Linked DNA regions of Mus musculus. The protein of the gene in region 2 binds, or shares a complex with, the protein of the main gene of each other region. Links are inferred from orthologs where the notes say so. Each region holds a gene or a part of one and is shown on either strand. Other genes may lie near its edges.

What was found.
Region 1: the proteins of Aagab (region 2) and Ap1s3 are in contact, whole or in part, in a crystal structure (PDB 9DDT), measured with the Homo sapiens proteins. The link is inferred for Mus musculus from reciprocal best matches to the Homo sapiens genes AAGAB and AP1S3. Residues at the interface, in NP_078942.3 of Homo sapiens: Asn51, Lys52, Tyr53, Tyr54, Glu108, Val109, Met110, Ile111, Gln128, Ile132, Gly135, Phe136, Glu137, Asp151, Phe153, Pro154, Glu155, Arg161, Gln164, Ala165, Asn167, Ala168, Asn169, Val170, Met176; in NP_001034658.1 of Homo sapiens: Arg10, Gln11, Lys13, Arg15, Gln37, Leu40, Ser41, Arg61, Tyr62, Ala63, Ser64, His85, Val88, Asp92, Phe95, Val98, Glu100, Leu101, Asp102, Ile104, Phe105, Asn106.

Annotation. Positions count from the first base shown.
Region 1 is NC_000067.6:79,612,969-79,616,776, forward strand, and holds part of Ap1s3 (AP-1 complex subunit sigma-3), read right to left. Parts: intron 1,373-3,808; coding exon 1,235-1,372; intron 125-1,234; exon of another isoform or gene 1-124. UniProt on the Homo sapiens protein: Subunit of clathrin-associated adaptor protein complex 1 that plays a role in protein sorting in the late-Golgi/trans-Golgi network (TGN) and/or endosomes.
Region 2 is NC_000075.6:63,601,075-63,605,556, forward strand, and holds the start of Aagab (alpha- and gamma-adaptin-binding protein p34), read left to right. Parts: upstream 1-1,571; 5' UTR 1,572-1,624; coding exon 1,625-1,697; intron 1,698-4,482. Other genes in the region: Iqch (IQ domain-containing protein H), read right to left, coding at 1,293-1,343. UniProt on the Homo sapiens protein: May be involved in endocytic recycling of growth factor receptors such as EGFR.

The DNA.
Region 1 (3,808 bases), on a different chromosome or scaffold from region 2:
GGAAATCATGCCTAATGTCTTATTAACTTAACCAGTCTCTTATTTCCAAATAGCAGGAAGAATGACTTTAGCACCAATTTTAAAAGGGTACTTTATAATTCTTGAAATCCTCTTGACTCTTGACCTGTTATGAAAACAGGAAGATGGAAAAACCCACTGAGGCCAGGGGTGGTACATGACTGTCATCCCAGCAAATTGGGAGGGAGAGGCAGGAGGATTGTGAGTTCAAACCCAGCCTGAGTTACATAATAAGACTTTGTCTTGATAGAGAAAACAAACAAACAAACAAACAACCAGTAGAATGGAACAGACAGGGAAAAAGAAATGTCCCTTTTCCCACTGATATTGTTGGAGAGGTGGGACAGAATTTAGGCACCCGGAAACATGCTTGGTTTAGGACTAAATCATTTAGTCTAGACTAAATTAACAGGTAAGTTTGATATCTTTTAGAAGGCAAGGGTTGACAGAACACAGTGCTCTTTTTGACTGTCCTTGTAGGAGCTAATGCAGATTATGTTCCCCTATTAGGTCTGATTCAAATCTGGGATGCTTCTAAAAAGAAAAGTTCCAGAATATTTCTGAGCAACCACAGGATCAGGAGGAGTACCAAGCACAGGATCAGGAGGAGTACCAAGCCCAGGCTTCAGGGCCCATTTATACCTCTGCAATCCGGCTACCCGTGCTCCTGATCTATTCATGCAAACAAGAGCGCACAGACCTAAGGCCTTCCCAAGAGAGGTGGGAAATTTCAATTAAAATGACAAATGCCATCTCTAATATATCCAGCAAATGAAATAACTACGTGCTGCTGTTCTTCCTTCCCAGAGCAGAGCAGACATTTTAATGAAAGTCTTTTTATACATCTCATAAAATTACATTTGCAAAGAATAGCACCAAGCATTTCATACACTTCAGAGGGTCAGGTATTTTCAGACCCTGAAGTTCAGCCAAACAGGACAAGCAAAGGTTCAGGACCAAACCGTGAGGGTCCAAAGCTCTGTTTCATATTTATTAACTATGAAAATGAGCCGAACATTTCACAGCAAGTCTCTATTCATTCACTAAAAAACAGGCTAACACCTAGTTAGAATTGCTGAAAAAATTAAGTAAGCTAATACATGCAAATTGTTTAAAGTGGACGCTATGCTCAGAACAAAATGTGGGTGCAGTCCTCAGTGTTAACTATATTATAATTAGTGCTGGAATTACCCCAGGCATAGAAAACCATACTGACCTCTTGTAACATATCAGAGTCTTCAATGGCCTTGACTGCTGTTTTCTTGGATGTTTCCTGAATTTCTCCACCTATTATAAACTCATCAAGGATAAAATATGCCTTTTCAAAATTAAAGATAATATCCAGCTCACAGACCTGGTAAGAAAAAAAACAAACAAACAAACAAAGTTTTGATAAATTTGCAGTAGAATCAGGAGAGGCATCTGCCACCATCTCCAGCTTTTCCAATATTGCCATTCAATTCAGGTGATATCCAAACACAAAATACCACATAACAGTTCAAGGACATAAAGATGGGAGCAGAGAATTCTAGACCTTAGCAAAGGTAAAAACCAAATCCTATTAAAGTAGCTCATGCCTTTAGATAATAAGGTTTGCGGTGGTTTGAAAGAGAAATGTCCCCCATAGTCTCAAGTATTTGAATACTTGGTCACCAGCAGGTGGCGCTTGGGGTGGTTTTGGAGCATTTGAGGTTACAGCCTTGCTAAAGGAAGCAGGTCAGCAGCAGCAGGCATTGGCGTTTATAGCCTCATCCCTCTCCCGGTTCATACTCTGCAGATCTCTGCTTCCTTTCTGAGATCGAGATGTGATCCCTCAGTTTCTTGCTCCTGCCACGCTAGCATGCCTCCCCTGCCTTTATGAATGCCTCTGGAACTAGAAATCAAAAGAAACTGCTCTCAATAAGTTGCTTTTGGTCACAGTATTTCAGCAGCAATGGAAAAGTAACTAATGCAATGTTTTGTGTTGTAACGGAAAATAAGAGACTCCACAGGGGAGGGAGACCTCTAGGTGCTGTGCTCACACACACAAGCAGAAACTTGGTCCCTGATGCTCTTTAAGTGTAAGTCCAGAACCTCAATTCTCCTGCACTCAGGTCTCACGATCTTGGCTGTCAGGTTAGTGAACTGCCAGTTTTTGAATGTGTCAAACTTACCTGTTAAGACTCCTAAAAACTTCCTGCAAGCCCTGCTCTAAGGGATGAGTGGGTCTGGATCAGGTCTACAAACCTGTACTGTGAGCAGATTCCCATATGACACTGAAGCTTCAAGTTATCAAAACTGCACATTAACTGGGGTCAAAGACCAACAGAGAGACTGACAGGTCTCGATATACAAGTAAAGCCATCCTTGTATGGACGCTTCAACCCAAGAATGCTTCTATGATGTTCTTGCTGTCCTCCACACTGCTTACTCCACAAGTCACTAGAAACTGACTCTTGTGCACCCACATCCTATCTGCCCAACTGAAGCTGCTTTCTTTAAACCATCTAGCTGAAAGTCCCCCATCTTTCTTTGAGCTCACCTCAGAAGTATCTGATACCCTTGTCAATCTGTTTCTTTTTTCTTTTCTTTCTTTCTTTCTTTCTTTCTTTCTTTCTTTCTTTCTTTCTTTCTTTCTTTCTTTCTTTCTTTCTTTCTTTTTTTAACATTTATTTACTATATAACACTAGCTGTCTTCAGACACACCAGAAGAGGAAATCGGATCCCATGATAGATGGTTGTGAGCCACCATGTGACTACTGGGAACTGAACTCAGGACCTCTGGAAGAGCAGTCAGTGTGCTTAACTCCTGAGCCATCTTTCTAGCCCCTGCCAATCTGTTTCTTGATGACAAGATTTCTTCTTCCTTGCTCACTTAAGCTTAGCTGTGTCATTGAACAGTCCTCCTCTGGCACTGAAGACTCCTTCTCAGACCTTCTGGATGGTTCTGTTTTACTCCTCCTGCTCTACCCTGTGTTTGATGAGGTCAAGGATTCAAGATAGATTTTAATTCTCCCATGTGCATAGAGGATTCCACATTGCCAACCCTACCTCTCTGCTTTCCTCTGCCTGACTTTATCACCTGCCACAGTCACACAAGCTACCAGCCACCATGTTTGATCATGACCATACCCTGTCACATGCCAGCAAGAATTGAGTCATTCCTTTAAATCCCTTCCTTTTATTCTCCTACTGACAAAATCATATAAATCTCTCAATGCAGAAGGAATTTTTGAAAATCCCTACCTAAGATAAACAAAATGAAAAACAAACTATAAAACCAAGAGTGGTGGCACACATCTTTAACCCCAGTACGCAGAAGGCAGAGGCAAGTGGATCTCTGTGAGTTCAAGGCCAGCCTATTCTACATTCATATTCAAGAGTTCAAAAAACCAAAACAGAAAAACAAACAAAACATCAGCAAAATAATAAACAATTCACAGACAAAGCAAGATGGGGGAGGGTAATAAATGTCTAATAATACCAGTAACTCCAAGAAGTCAAGAGAAAGGCAAACTGAACCCATAGCCACAGGAAATTCAGTGCCAATATCCATTGCTAGTAATGGTATGAATAAGTACATACACTCCCTATCAGTGGAATTTACAAATCTTGTATGCCATTTTTGGTTGACTGGTCAAATTGTAGAGTCTGTTAATTTTGAATGCAAAAATGCTTGCACCTGCATATGGTCGAAGTGGTGAACTGGTAAAGGCACGTGCCACAGAAGCCTGACTGTAACAGGGCCCCAGGCATTTGCATAACTGACATTACAAGATAGAAGTACCATTCAGGCCATAAAAGCCAGCAT
Region 2 (4,482 bases):
CTGTACAACCAGAGATGCCTGCCTTCCTGTGCCGAGGACACGGAGATAAAAATTCAGAAAGAACTCACTCCCCACACCTGCCTTGTAAATTTCACCAAGGACACCCAGAAGAGAAGAACTCTTCCCAGCTCTCCTCCCAACTCTTCCCAACACCTCTCCCAATTCCTCAGCTAGCTGTTAAAAGCCCCCTACTGTCACCACTCGGGTCGAACTCCCCTGCCCTGCACTGTGGAGGGACTTCGTCCTCAGCTAGCTGATAATAAAACCTCTTGCAGTTTGCATCAGGTGTGGTTTTCTCTCGAGATGTTGGGGTGTTGGCCAGCTCATCCCGGGACTTGAGCAGAGGCCCAGCATCGGGGGTCTTACAGAACTTCTTAAAGTGAGACCATCTTAAAGGGACCCATACCTAAACACGGAAAAAAACAAAACAAAACAAAGCAAAAAAAAAAAAAAAAAAACCAAACCAACCTAGCTGTTTCAGAAAAATTGTTCAACTGTCACAAACTGAATTACACTGGAGAAGTCAAGTCTTTGAGAGCTTTCTCCCTAGATTATAAATAAGATATTTCTCCAAGTTTTCATTTTTTATGTTGTTTTGTAATCCAGGTGATCTTAAAAATATGTTTGGTAACGCACACCTTTAATCCCAGCACTTGGGAGGTAAAGGCAGGCAGATTTCTGAGTTGGAGGCCAGCCTGGTCTACAGAGTGAGTTCCAGGACAGCCAGGGCTACACAGAGAAACTCTGTCTCGAAGAAAAAAAAATTTTAAAAAAAGCTTGGGTGTGTGTTCCCAAGCAAGCAGTGACTATTGTAGGTTAAGAAGCACGGGTCCCATAGCTCACGTTCTCTTCGAACTTCTCACCACCTCCTAATGATGAATCTGTTTCTCCTTCACATCCCCAAGCCATGGATGGACTTTAAACATTTCATAATTTATTTTTAAATGGTGCCTTGAGCACCCCAGCCTGCTAGTACAGATTGATAATCCCAGTTACTCAGGAGGCTGAGGCAGGAGGATCACAAGTTCCAGGCCTGCCTGGATTGTAGAGGGTGCTCCAAGACAGTCAATGACCATCTGGGCCCGAAGTATAAGGAAGACAGGTGATGCAGCCTAGCGGTAAAGCACTTGCTTGGCGCTAGCATGTCCTGTGTTCAACCCCCAGAGCATGATGCCCTAAAGTGTAGGCGTTTCCTGCTATAGGGCCGAGAGAATAAATGGTGGTGCTTGGGATCACAGGTTTCGGGGTTCGAGGGGAGGTCTGTGCGGCCGCCAGCCCGGCCTGTTTCCCACCTGGATTAGGATGGATCCAATGGGGTCGCTGTCCTCCTGGGCCTGCGCCATGACTAAGGAGGGCAGAAGACACTAGGCTCCGGAGGTATGGCCTCCTGCGGAGCGCTCCTAGATGGTGCGGGCACCCGTCACCATAGCAACGCGGCGCGCGCGACCGGCGCGCTCCACTGGAGGAGCGGGGAAGGGGGGTGTGAGGGCCAGCCGGAGCCTCGGCTGCCCAGCGCGCGGCCCCGCCCAGCGCGCGTGCCCGGATCATCTCCCCCGCGTGCCCGCTGCAGTGGTACGGCCCAAGGCGGAAGCAGCGCCGGCGCGGAACCCGCTCTGCCGCAGCGATGGCTGCCGGTGTACCCTGCGCGCTGGTTACCAGCTGCTCCGCCACCTTCACCGGGGACCGGCTGGTGCAACGTGAGTAACCCGACGTCTGAGCCGGGCTGCAAGGCCCAGTTCAGAGCCATGGGCGCAGGGCCGGCGACCTCTCCCGGGCTCTGCCCGAGCTGGGCCCTAGGCTCCGGCTCCTCCGCAGGTCTCGGCGCCAGGCGCTTAACCTTCTGCCTGTGTAAAGTGAGGCCGGTTTCTGACCTCCCGCCTCAGGGGTGGTGGCAAGCACCCCCTAAGATGATATTCAAGACCCCGGAAATTGTGCTCTTAGACGAATGTAAGGCGCTGGAGTTGCGGTGTTGTGTTTGGGGGTTATGCCCCTGCTGCTGGGGTAGTGGTTCCTCTTGTGAACTGAAGTGCTCAGCAAAAAAACAAAAAAACAAACAAACAAAAAATGCACGCGCGTTAGTGTTCTGCCAGGATGATGGACTGACCAGAACTCCTGTGATTGTGGAGAGCTGGAATTTTAATAACTGTAGCCAGATTCTCGTGGACTGTCTCTAGTCTCCTTCTTAGCCATTTGTTGCCCACTTCTGTGTCTGACCTAATATCCTCTGACTATCAGGTAAAGTCCTTTTGGGAATAAGCAAACAGACCCCCTAGCTTCCATCAACCCAAAGGCTAAGAATTTTATCAGTTGGTGTCTGAGGCCTACAGCAAGGGCTTCCACGATGTGCTGTAATCCACCAACCTGTTGTTCCCCTCAATGTATTTTTAGAACATCCTGATATGTAGCTTTGTTGTTCCTATAAGAACACCATGGAATTGTTATTGCCACGTTGGAACATTTGACTTGAGGCACCCCTGATTCCTGTTCCCTTTTCATGATCCCTCATATTTGGCTCCAGAATAAACGCTTACTCCCTTAGAGATGAGAGCTGTGGGCGTTCTTGATTCCCTCCCCTTGATTGTGTGTGTGTGTGTAATGTACATACATGCATACTTGTGTGTACATGATATTTGTTGGGTGCCCCCTCACTTGCAGTTACATTTCTTGAGTTCTTTCTGAGGTGAAAGTTCCCCGGAAAAAAATGAGTTTGAGGTGTTACTGCACCCAGTGCTTTTGCTTCTGGACCCTAAGGGCTATAAAATTCAGGGTTTTGTTTTTGTTTTTGTTTTGTTTTTTTTGCCTTTGTTGTGCATACGCGAATATACGTGTGTGTGTGTGTGTGTGTGTGTGTGTGTGTGTGTGTTTTCTGCTTTTTAGTCCCACTGCTCTGTGCATACTGAGCGTGGCACTCTACCTCAGAGATAAACCCCAGCCCCACCCCAAAATGAGCTCTGAAATGTAGGTCAGAGAGACTAGTGAGCTAGAGCTGAGGAGGCAGCTCACTGGCCAGGTCTATGGCTCTGACTGTGGGCAAGTCACTGAACCTCTGCCCTTCATCTTCCTATCTGTGGGCTGAGGATTATGTTTGGCCACAGGCCAGCACGTGGCAAGCATTGGATAAGTGGTTGGCCTTATTATAAAAGCGTATCACCTGTTTAACTCAGGCTTTGCTGAGCCTTAAAGGGGGCACATGAAGAGGTGTCCTGGGAGACCGTGGGTGCTGGCTTGCAAATGCGGCCGAGCCTGTAAAGCATCGTGCAGTTTGTAATTATTTTCTACACCTGTTGACAGAATTAGGCATGCTGTCGTTCCTGCACGGGTATTCTATAACTTGCTTATTCTGAACACTTAGACAGTTCCTTGCTAGGGCAGAAGCTTAGTTACAACATTCATAAATGAGAACCAAACTCTTTGCCATTCTCTTACTTCCCCTAAGCAGTGCTCCCCTTCCCCCATCCCCCACCAGGGAGTGCTCCCCTTCCCCCACCCCCCACCAGGGAGTGCTCCCCTTCCCCCATCCCCCACCAGGGAGTGCTCCCCCTTCCCTCCCACCAGGTCTCCCATCTTTGCCCCTTCTACTTCATGTTGAATTTAGTAAAATTTAGCATATGGAGAAAAAAATGTTAGCTGACATTTTGGTGGTGTTTTTTTTGCCATCTCCCCGGGGCCCCTGCATATTTTCTGTATTTTATAATTATTGTAATTATATAATTCTACTTCATATGTAGTTTTTAGCCTGGTGTGTGTGTGTGTGTGTGTGTGGTGTTGATGATGGATTCCAGTGCCTTGCACGTGTTAAGCAAGTGCACTACTACTGAGTCACACCCTAATCCCCATCCTGATATTTTTTTAACACTAAGTCAAAAAGTACTTTCTATTGTACATCCATGCAGTGAATATACCAGACCTTTCTGAAGGCGTTTATGGGTCTGTATTTATCTGACTTTCAATAAAATGTATATGCATTTAGAGTCCTATTAGTGATAGGTGAATGATCTTTCAAAGGCAGGCTCAGGAATATTATATATTCTGATAGCTATGGTGCTCTGTCTCCCTTTCATCCTCCAAAAAGGTCTTGTGTGTCTCCTAGGCCAGCTCTGAACTTGTCCAAGTGTTGAGCCCGCCGTGCCTGGCCCGGTCCTGTTTCTCAAAGATCAGAACTGGCAATCGTGGTCAGTTCCTTGAAAGAGCTGATCGACCACCAGTAGCCAGCAAATGGTGGCATTCTTCCTTTGTTCTTTAATAGAGACTTTGAACATTATTGGTGTGTGTGTGTGTGTGTGTGTGTGTGTGTGTGTGAAGTTCTACGAAACAGCCCATTTTGTTTCTGTATGCAGAGTGACTTAGGAAACTCTAATTCTTGTTAAAATTAGGTGCCACTCATCAGTGCTCCACACGTCAGCAGGGGAAGTGCAGAAAAGCCAGCAGATGGTTTAAATAAGTAAAGCAGGAAAGAGGGCTGGCCAGTTCTTACAAGGTCAT